Linked DNA regions of Coturnix japonica. The protein of the gene in region 1 purifies or fractionates together with the protein of each later gene. This does not show direct contact. Links are inferred from orthologs where the notes say so. Each region holds a gene or a part of one and is shown in the gene's direction. Other genes may lie near its edges.

Region 1 (3,650 bases):
CCCTGCTCGCCTCCGCTGCTGCTGCTGCTGCTCCTGTCCCTCCCACCCCCAGCGATGCGGTGACCCCGGACGTCGGCGCAGCCCCAGCGGCTGTGGAGCAGAAGAAATCCAACCTTTTTATCTACCCTTCCAATATGCAAACCGTGCTGCTGGGTACGGCTCAAGTCGATTTCCCGTCGCAGACGAATCAGCAGAACCTGGGAGATATCTTCCAGAACCAATGGGGTTTGTCCTTCATCAACGAGCCCAGCGCCGGCCCCGACACCGCGGTGGGGAAATCTGCCGATAGCCAGTCAATGGAAGTGACGTTTCAGGGGGAATATCCCGCCGCGTTGGTTTCACAGTGTGCTGAAATCGTCCCCTCAGGAGCTGAGCAGCCCGTGTTCCCCAAGGCGTACGAGCTGGACAAACGGACTAACCCATCCCCAGCTCTCAGCGCTGCCCCAAAGCCTGGGACTGCTGGGGAGGGCGGCGGTGCAGCCCTGGAGTCGCATCACGCTGGCGAGCTGCAAAAGGCAGAGGCTGGCAGCCAAGGTGCTTTAGTGTTTCTTTCAAAAGACTATGAAGTAGAGAACCCTCTGGCCTCTCCCACGAACAATTTGTTAAGCTCCGCCAAAGAACAGGGGTACCAGAGAGGCCTAGAAAGGAAAGATAGCTGGGGTTCTTTTGACCTGAGTGCTGCTGTTAAATATCACACTAAAGGTAATGGCTTCGCTCGCTACCTAAGGGCATGCTCTGTTCTCTCCTTGTGCTTTTCCCCCTCTATCAGTGCAGTGTAATAACATGATGTCTCTCTTGCAGCTGATTGTTTTGGAAAGGAGCTTTTGGTTGCCTGTACCGAATGGCAGCCACGGCTTGGGAAAGTGACTTGAAAAGCTGTTTTGTTTCTGCCGGGAGCTGCTCGTTTCTCTTGTGATGGGCAGAGTCGGTTGGGCTGGTGGTCAGCTGCTGGGCTGCTCTTTTAGTCCCTATGGGCCAACCAGGTCTCCCTGAGCAGCAGGAGGAGCTGGATGTGTGGGCTCTGCAATGCTGCAGCTCCCCTGGCTGCAGGGGGGCTGTGTGCTCACACCTCTGCCACCCCAGTGCTGCAGCTTCACCTTGGGGTGGATGGTACCCTGAGATCGTGGCTTTAAAGGGAGGAAAATTCCTCCTGTGTGTCTCTCCCTTCTCATGGTGTGATTTATTTCTTGCTTTAACTCCTTTACTTTTTGTAGCCCACCTTTTCCCCATCCTTCTACAATTATTGTGGCAACAGCGCGGCAAATCTCCACCTCTCAGCTCTGCAGGTTGGATTTCCTCCCTCTCTTTGTAGGGCGCATCTTTCAGATGATGTTATTGCTTTCATGGAGCCCTTTTGTAGTCCTTTCAGACTGCGGTGTCTGAAGTACAGCTTGGATACAGCAAACAGGGCAGAGCAAAACCTGCAGGCTGGTTTTCCTTTCTGCTTCCCCTCTGGTCTCAGTCCCATAGGCCGGGGGTCTCAGAGCTGCTGGTGTTAGGGAGCCCAGGTTCCCTGCTCCAGTTCTCTTATGAAGTTCACTGCTGTATCAACGCTCTGGTTTGTCTCTCATTACTCTGCAGCCCTCTTTCTCCCCTTCTCTCTCACTGCATGAAAGACCCCAGTGAAACAATAGTCACAACAGGAAAATAAAGAACACTCCCTTCCCATGTCCTCTTAAGGAGGTGTTAACTTCAAAGCCTGGCTCTGCTTATTCCTTCTGAGCACAGAGGTTAATTACATGCACTGGCAGGAGTGGACACCTAAATCACCCCTTAAAACACTGCTCTCTGCTCTTTCCTTTTCCTCTGCTCTGGGTGTTCCTGGCAGCGTTGTGTCATTAGCACAGGGCAGTCTGTGCTCATCTTTCTCCTTCTTGGTGTCCAGGAGCTGCTGGCTTACAGAGCATGGAGCGATGAAGGTTTGAGTTCACCTGCAATGATGGTAGACCTGCATTTTGGTGTTTGCTGAGGACTGAGTTTGATTTCTGGGAGGATCAGCAGCTTCCCCTGCCCTGTGCTTAAGGGAGATCCTCACGATGTCTCTGTGGCCACAGCCCTGGGTGCAGAGCTTGCAGGCACTTCATTCTCACACTGTTTCCCATTCATGTGGGACTGCTTTCCTGAGGTCCCCTGAAGTGCCTGTGCTTGCAGTGCTTGCTTACATAGCCCTGCTCTGGGCTGTGGGTATCTGTCCTCACTTTGTTTGCTTTGGATTTCAAGAGAAGGGCGAACTCCTCCCTCTCCAGATCGATCTGTTTGGTTTCGAGCAAAGTCTCAGTGGTTTGATCTCCAGATCTGCCCTTCCTGCAGGGTTATGGATGTGTGGGGCAGGGACGGGGTGAGCAAAGAGAGCACCTGCCCTGAGCTCCATGGGAGTGTGGGCTGCTGCAGCAGTGCAGCCTGCCTGGTACCTGTGGTCAGCTCGTGTGGATCCTCATCTTGGCTTGCACATCAGCAATGGGGAGGCTGCCTCCCATAGGGGCACTGCAGACCCGCTGGCACAGCTGCTGGTGCACACTGGTTCTGCTCTTGGATGCTTTTTGTGCTGCTTCCTCTACACTCCTGCTCTGCGTTTCCCTTTTCCCACGGCCATCCGATCTGCCCACCCGGAGCACGCGACCCTTCAGGGCACTGCCCTCACTGCCTGCACGTGCTGCTCGCTGCTGCCGTGCCCAGCGTAGCGAGGTGGATGTGAGTTAGTTCCGTGCTGCTGGAGCTGCCGTCTGCCTGGAGGCAGGGCTGGGAGCTTCTGGTGGGAGCCCACAAGGACCAGTGGGAGCGATGCTGTCGTTTATGAGCTCTGTTTCCCCCCAGGATAGAACTGAAGCTTTGTCCCAGTGTGGCGTTGCTCAGATCCTCCTTTTGGGGCTGAACTTGATGCAAACAGGTGGTTTGGTCCTCTCCTGACAGAGAAGGCTGCCCACAGAGGACAGGCAAGCTCTGCTCCAGCTGCACAGCAGCAAAACCAATGTAAGCAGAGGAGAGAGGGAAACTGCAGCTGTTTTCCTCCAGCCTCGCCCCGTGTTTCTGCCTGCCCTGCTTTGTTCCTGCTCGCATGAAGAAGCAGGGGAGCGGCGTGCAAAATAGAGCGAGGAGCGCGGGGCAGCGCGGAGTGACGTGCGGCGGAATGGGGAACTGGGTCAGAAGAAGCAGCAGCAGCGCAGTGAATTCAGCAGTTCCCATCCTCTGCATCGGGGAGGGGGGGACAAGCCTTCCCTCAGTGGGAAGGGGTGAGGGCTCAGTTGGTTGCTGATGTGCTGCGGGGCAGAAGCTGATGTGATTCTTTGAGGCTCTGCTATTTCCACTTGGCAGAACTGCCGCCCGGCGCTGTCACCATGAGGCTCTTTGGCATCAAATGTTGAATCTTTGCTTTGTTTCCTGGGAATCCCCAAAGTTAGCGGCTGCACCTCGCAGATAGCGAGAATCCAGGCGAGGTTGAGCCCTCTTGGTTATTTTTAAGCTGTTCAATTTGGGTGAAGTTGTCAGTCTGTGCTGGGTTTGTGACAGCAAAGAGCTGCCACCGTAGCACAGCGTGGGGACTTTTGTTTGCGGCAGCATTCTCCCTAGCAAGGAAAATGTATATCCAAGTGCCTGTCGGAGCAAGTTATTGCACAGGCTTCTTTCCCCTCCAAGGTTATGTACTAATCCAG
Region 2 (3,650 bases), on another chromosome or scaffold:
ATGAAGAGTATGTTCTTAAATTGAGCTTCTTTGTATATCATAGCAGTTAGCTTTCACTCAACCATGCATTCTTCTTAGCAAGGTATTTGCTGCAGTGTGTTAAAGGCAAGAATGGAGTCAAGTTATGGTGGGGAATCTTAACTTTGTCTTGGTGGAACAGTTCCCCTGTCAGTTTTGGTGTATGTACTGTACAGCTGAGATTTGTTGGAGTACTTAATACTGTCAGTGCTTTCATGAAACTTTCAAAGCATTTGTGAAGGCTAAAGCCTTGAGTGCTGTAATAACATACTTCATAAAGTTGGGAAGTTGCCCTGATCACCAGGGGTCTTCTGCCTGCAGCATGTATCTCAGATAATAATGCTTTTGGGAAGTATCAGTGCTTGTCATAGCAAGGGCCGCTCCTAACGTTCAGAATTGTGTAGTGCTTGTTAGCCATTAACTAGTCCAGTATGGGCATGGTGCTTTAAAAAACAGAAACCAACCAACCACACAACAAAAAAGAAACCAACGTGGCTTTTCAGGATAAAGTACATACATCTGATGAACAAAGACCCCTGAAATAAACTGTGGCTCTGCTAGCTTTCTGATATAAACAGTGAGTTTGTAAGCCAAGGCAAAAGAGCAAAAGGTTTGACTCCTATTACCAGCCCTTGGCTTTAAGGGAATGTGTTTCCAATGACATCTTGAAAAACACGCATCATTTTCTTCTAGTCTAACGGATGGGATCCCAACGACATGTTTCGTTACAATGAAGAAAATTATGGTGTAATATCAACATATGACAGCAGTTTATCTTCTTATACGTAAGTTCCAAAATATTTTCTTATTAGATTTGTATTTAATGTTGTCCCTGGTGTGACAAAATTCGTATTCTCAAGATAAGTTTATATACTTTCTAAGGTTGTGGAATCAAATAACTGAAAAAAAAAAAAAAAGATAATAATGGATGAATTGTGCTTAAGAAACCTTGCCAGATTTCTGTGAATAGTTTGTGTAGCAATCTGTATATATTCCCTTAAATGGGCACAGTTCATTCCCATTGCAACATTTTCTGAATTTAGGCGTGCAATAATGCTTAATTCTTAGAAAAACTTTTACAAGTAGAGTGAAAAATACAAACTGTGAAACTATAATGTCTCTTTATGTAGCTGCCATATGTGTAGTTTGTGTTTAACCCAGCAGAACAGTCTGATTAAATCCTAATTTTATTGTGATTATTCATAATGTAGGTATTGGAGTATTGAAACGCTGCTGATATTTCAAGGGGGTTTGTACTGTGGATAACTTGTTTAACAGGCTTGTGCAGACCTGAAGTTTTAGTTACAATATAACAACAACTTGAGTATAGAAGAAGAAGTATGAAGTCTGCTGTGCTTACTTTGGCAGCCTGGACTCATTCCCAGTAGTCTGCAGCTATAGTGTTCGTGCAGCTACAACACAAACTGGTTGCAGATGTTGAACAGCCATCGTGAAATGTCTTTATTTTCCCACTCATTTTACCCACAAAGTTTAAAACTTGGTTGTGAATGTTCAGGAATTGCAGTGATTATTTTAATTTTCTTTTTTCTTTTTTTTTTGTCTGCACATCCCTTGTTCAACATTTTCTTTCTATTGCCACGTTATAGATGTATTTTAACAAAAGCTTAATTGGCTTATGTCTGCATCCTAGGGAAGCTATTCCTAGAGCAGTGAAGTATTCCAAAGTACTCTTTGTACTTCTGAACTTTAGTCTGTGATCTTTCTGTTTTATGGGTATAAATGAACACAAATTAAGAACATGAAGGTGGCTTTAAATTGCTGAAGACAAATTCCATTATTTGCTAGTCAAGGAACTTGCTTTGCATTTTGTTGCTTTAGCTGGGACACTTTATTCTGATTTTCCAAGCATATGATGAGCAGTGGTCCAGCTAAATGCTTACCTGTGCACTTGAGGGGGATTGTACAGGGTTTACTGTTCATTTTATCTTCCCAGAGCTAAGCATTAGCAGGTATAGTTTGTCAGTTTGCATAAGGGCACAAGCTTTGTCCTAGCAAGTGCACTCCTTGGCTGTGTTGATGGCTGCTGTGCTCACACGTATCTTATTTGTGAGCCAGAGCTTTGTGCAGGAGGCCATGCTTTCTCTTTCATCCTCTCAGTCACCATTGATAATGGCAGCAGCTGGCCAAAACTGTGTGTGAGGAGGGGAGACTTTTGCTGTAGTAGCAGAGCTACATGGTACAATTTGGCAAAGCCATTTGCTTTCATAGCCCTGCCACCAATACTTGAGTAATCTTGCATATATTATTTCTTTCTTGGGCTGTCTTTCCAACTACATCCTTTGTTATTTGTTTGTATTATCCCAAATGTGTGCAGTACTGATTATCTAATACCAAAGATTGCATTGTCAGAGTCTCATCTCTACATAGCTTATTCTAAAGTAAAGTCAATGAAGAAAGTTATTTCATAAAACCTGACACAAAAATTAGAACAGGTGAAAAACAGCAATGACAGATGGACAGGAGGAAGTGTCAGCTCAGTTGTGTTGTCCTTCTGTAGTTCATTATTTTAGTAATTCATTGCTCGTGTATCGAGTGGCTTTCCCAAAAGGGTTACGTTTGCTTGCTGCAGTGTGGTATTACCTAATATCATAATACATAGAATGAATGGTTTTGAGGTTCCAGGACATGGCAATTGAGTCTTGGGTTTCTGGTCTAAAGTACTGCATTCATCTTTTCTGCAGTTACTATCACTGGAAGAACTGAAATTCCGTGACTGGAATTATCAGAGGATTAAGTTTGTAACTCTTAACTTCAGTAGTGCTGGGGACTCTTACATCTATTGTGAATGTGTAAATTGCTAAAGAAATTCAAATTTGGTCTCTTGAATTACCTTCCTATCTAAATAATGGGCTAAGGCCTTTTTGTTGCTAATGTGCTCAACCCTGTTAAAAGTTGAAGACTTTGCATAGCTTTAGGGACTGGGGAGTCTGCCAGTCATATGGTAAAGCTGTGCATCCTGACCTCGGTTCTCTAGGCAGGTAAATGGCACTGGTACATAATGTCAAACCAGTGCAGGAATATTGCTAATATAGCAAATAAACTGTCTTAAAAGCATTTTTTTTGTGTGTGTTTTCTTTCTTTTTTTCTTATTTTTAATTTGACCCGTCTAGAATTAATTCTATATAATTTTGTATGTTCTTTGTACTTTTGAATTCATTTCAGATGTTCTTTTTCTTCCATTGTTTTTCAGGGTGCCATTAGAAAGAGATAATTCAGAAGAGTTTTTGAAACGGGAAGCCAGAGCAACTCAATTAGCAGAGGAAATTGAATCAAGTGCCCAATACAAAGCTCGGGTTGCCTTGGAAAATGATGAAAGAAGTGAAGAAGAAAAATATACTGCTGTTCAGAGAAATGCTAATGAGCGAGAAGGTCATGGTGTGAACACTAGGTACTTGCATACACTGTGAATAGTATTTTTATTTAAATGATGTACATATTTTGTTACAGTAGCAATTTACTCATTGAAACTGTGCTTTTTCAGTGGGGCTGATTAGGTTAGGAATCTTGTGTAAACAGTCACTTGCTGGTTTTGGCACTCGTGCTGACTTGTACACCTCTGCTTGGCCCTGTATTATCTGTAATGAAACAGACTTGTCCATTCTGATATTTCA
Region 3 (3,650 bases), on another chromosome or scaffold:
TATGCCGCAATCTTGTTTGCACTGGTAAGAGCCCCTATGCATTTCTGAAGGTTGTGGTAGAGTAGCCATTAGCCCAGGTATAATTGATGAACTGCTTAGTGATAAAACTAATCTGTTTTAGTAAGAGAATTTTTGTCATACCTGTGTGTAGCGGGCTGCAGTGCTCCTGTATTGCAGAATGACCCGGGTTGGAAGGGACCTCAAGGATCATGAATCTCCAACTACCCTCCCCCGCCACAATCAGGGCCACTAACTTCCTCATTTAATACCAGCCCAGGCTGCCCAGGGCCACATCCAACCTGGCCTTGAACACCTCCAGGGTCGGGGCAGCCACAGCCCACATACCACTCTCAGAGTAAAGAACTTCTCCCTGACATCCAGCCTAAATCTGTAGGCATACAGGCTTTCTCTTTTTGGCAACCTGTGGTGGTGCAGCTTGCTAACAAATCCTTTCATTGTGATGATAATTTGTACTTCAGTTATGTTTTCTTTATGTTCTAACATTTGAGTGTCCTATAAATTGTTGGATATGAAATAGTAGAAGAACTGTAGGTAGAACTGTGGCTAGCATTATTGAATAATGATTTACTGATTCTTCATCACTTCCCAAATGCTTTGCAGTTCTGATTGGTCTGTATATGGCCTGAGTTGTATCTTGGCTGCATTACTAAAACTCACTTGAAATGAAACAGAGATAGTTCAGTTGATGGGACGTAGCTCACATTTCAAGTCTGTTGTAAAATGACAGTGTGTGCCTTATTTGATAAGATGCTTATATAAAGCTGACCGGCTCAAAAATAGTGCAAAAACTGGCTTCATGAGAATTATTTTTTTTACCTAGAACTGAAGATTTGATGTCTTGATCATTCGGTTTTTATTATGCTTAACATGGATAAAGAGCAGGAAGAGGCTGTAACAGAATTTATGTCAAATGTTTTGATACACAGAAAGGGCTTGTCTTTAGAAACTAGTGCTAACCAACATTCACAAAGGCTAAATTTCCCAGCCCAGCATTAGATTTCATGGAAGTTAATGTTCTTCATGACTTGTGTTGTCTTTCAGATCTGTTTACCCGAGGTATTGATATCCAAGCTGTGAATGTGGTGATAAACTTTGATTTTCCAAAGCTGGCAGAGACTTATCTCCATCGTATTGGCAGATCAGGTGAGAGGAAAAACATGTTTTAGGGACAGCTTTGCTGATAATTGTAATATTCCTTATGCTTTGATTGGGTTCTGCTTTCTATCACTGTACTGATAATTATTTGGAATAGCTTTTTTTCTGATGTTTACTTACAGGGATGATGGCATAGGATTTTCTTCACAAATACCTGAGTTAATGGCCGTGCTCTTTAAATGAGCTTGAAGAGCCTAGGCCAAAAATAAAAAGAAAATGAGGGAAAAAAGCACCTTTTGCTTTAATTTCATGGAACTCGCCAATGCTTATTGTTTGCAGTTTAGGAAGATTCTATATTGAAAACTTAATTTCTGTGTTTTTTAAAGCATAGTGTGTTTTGTTTGTTGTTCTGCTTGTGCTCCAAAGTTTGTTTCTGATGTCTGGACAGCTTCCAGATATATCCCTGATGATGACAGTGAAGAGTGGAACTCTGTTTACCTCAAGTTCCACACTGCAGTAGTGGAAGACTTTTACTTGGTAGTAGAAAGTCCTTATCAGATGTTGATGTGAAGCTTGCAGGGGTCCAGGTTGACTTTTATAATGAGAAAGCGATGTTAATAACACCTGCAGAATCTGCAGGCTTTTCATTTAACCTCCTGTTACTCAGTTTAAATTTCTTTTTTGAGGTCGCTTTGGACATCTTGGCCTGGCCATCAACTTGATCACCTACGATGATCGATTCAACCTGAAAAGTATTGAGGAGCAGCTGGGAACTGAAATAAAGCCCATACCAAGCAACATTGACAAGAGCCTTTACGTGGCAGAATATCACAGTGAACCTGTAGAAGATGAGAAACAGTAACCATGTGCGTATGTGCTGACTTGAGTAGTTGTGTTGGAATGTCATTGTGGGGGAAGAGGGGAAACTGATGTGCTGAAGAGTCTTGGAATGTGAAAACAAAGGTTTGAAATAGGCTGTCAGAGGAGATGAGGAGAATCCTGCTTGGTGACAGGATGGCTGTGAGCAGCCTAATGAGTTCTTTCTGTATTTCTTAGCTGAGCAGTAGGGGCAGAAAGTGATTATCAGGAAGGTGAGGAGTGAAAAATAGGTCTCTTAAGAACATAGCACCAACAGAACAGCCTGTTCATCTCAGCAGCTGAGAGGAGCAGGTTCAAGCCATAGGTGCCTCATATTTGTTTTGCATTCTTTGATTCATAGAACTTCTGCAAGTAAGCTGAGTAGGTAGCAGAGCTGTAATTCATCTTCATTGCCACTTGAGGTCTACATAGCATTAAAAGAAAATGAGGCTTCTCTGGCAAGGACTTTGGAAGTGTGACTTTTTGATTGCTGTCTGAGGGGAAAAAAAAGGCTGAGTCAGTTCACAATCCAAGGAAGCTGTTATTCTCACAGCAAATAGAGGGTAATATTTCATCTGTTACTAGCTGAGATGCTACAGACCATTTGGGTTGAAAGGAGTTTTGTAGTGCATCTTGTCTTAGAGATCATGAATTAAGAATTCTAATGAAGCTGCTGCAATTACTCTCAGTTAACAAAAAAATTGCCAAAGAAACAGTCTGTTAATTAAAATGAGAATTAAAGCAAAACCTGTATCTCTTTGGAATAACTCAAGGCTAGCCCCAGCCAGCTGGTCATGTCCAGGTGACTTGTGGCCTCTGCTTTGCTGGCTGAGCTTTCTCCATGTTTTAAAATAAATAAAGCAAATCAAACTGTGAAGCTGGGCAAGGTCCTTGGGCGGCTTCCTTGGGGGGAGAAGTTGGGTCATAGTGGCACATCAGAGGGACAGTTCTCGAACTGCATCCAATGCCGGCGGCTTCTCAGGAGCTGCCCTGCAGTCAGCATGATTCATTTCTTAGCTCTGTGCAAAACCAGAACCTGACTTAATTGCAGGTGTTATTTGTGTATTTATATATTCAGGCTTTGACTACATATGCCAGAAGGTGAAGCCCTTTGATCCACATCTGTGACACATCATTTCTCTGGGGATACCCTTCTCTTTGTGGGTTTTTCTTCGTCTTTTCATTTTGGAACTATGAAGACTAAAGAGCTCGGCCTTTTTTCTTTTCAAATTTGGCAGCAAGGAAGAAAGAAGATGAAAGGAGGAATGGCTTTTTGTTTTTCCACTCGTTTGCACTGTGTGCTGATTGAACATTAGTTGCACTAACTGCTGGTTTTAAATTGTTTTTTCTTTGGGTGGGAGGGGCAGCAAGGGAAGAAGAGAAACCCTGAAAAGAGAAGAATCTTTGAACACGAGCTTGTCTGCGATTTCAAATTCTCCAACCATCTACTGAGTGCATTTCAACTTCTCCCTGGTTACTCATCTGTTTTTAAGCTAAAGAGCTTCTTACTTATTCGTGCAAAGTGCCTTATGCTATGAGACCATTCAGAACATCACCTTTCCGACACAGCCCGAGGAATCAACAGCCGTTTTTGGTTTCAGGTCAAAGTTCCCCTCTTTTCCCCCCTCTCTTCCTCTCCAAGTACTCGAGGCCAGGGCTGTGAGGTGAAACTTATT

Evidence for each region. Proteins that work in one complex are often made in the same cells at the same time.
Region 2: the proteins of NUFIP2 (region 1) and ATXN2 purify together in Homo sapiens (affinity purification with mass spectrometry; 3 studies listed by BioGRID and IntAct, counting the BioPlex papers as one, with this or other methods). This does not show direct contact. The link is inferred for Coturnix japonica from reciprocal best matches to the Homo sapiens genes NUFIP2 and ATXN2.
Region 3: the proteins of NUFIP2 (region 1) and DDX6 purify together in Homo sapiens (affinity purification with mass spectrometry; 6 studies listed by BioGRID and IntAct, counting the BioPlex papers as one, with this or other methods). This does not show direct contact. The link is inferred for Coturnix japonica from reciprocal best matches to the Homo sapiens genes NUFIP2 and DDX6.

The regions. Positions count from the first base shown.
Region 1 is NC_029534.1:4,757,495-4,761,144, reverse strand, and holds part of NUFIP2 (nuclear fragile X mental retardation-interacting protein 2), read left to right. Parts: coding exon 1-702; intron 703-3,650. UniProt on the Homo sapiens protein: Binds RNA.
Region 2 is NC_029530.1:5,325,843-5,329,492, reverse strand, and holds part of ATXN2 (ataxin-2), read left to right. Parts: intron 1-711; coding exon 712-803; intron 804-3,229; coding exon 3,230-3,427; intron 3,428-3,650. UniProt on the Homo sapiens protein: Involved in EGFR trafficking, acting as negative regulator of endocytic EGFR internalization at the plasma membrane.
Region 3 is NC_029539.1:4,829,404-4,833,053, reverse strand, and holds part of DDX6 (probable ATP-dependent RNA helicase DDX6), read left to right. Parts: coding exon 1-24; intron 25-1,062; coding exon 1,063-1,164; intron 1,165-1,802; coding exon 1,803-1,978; 3' UTR 1,979-1,982; intron 1,983-3,052; 3' UTR 3,053-3,650.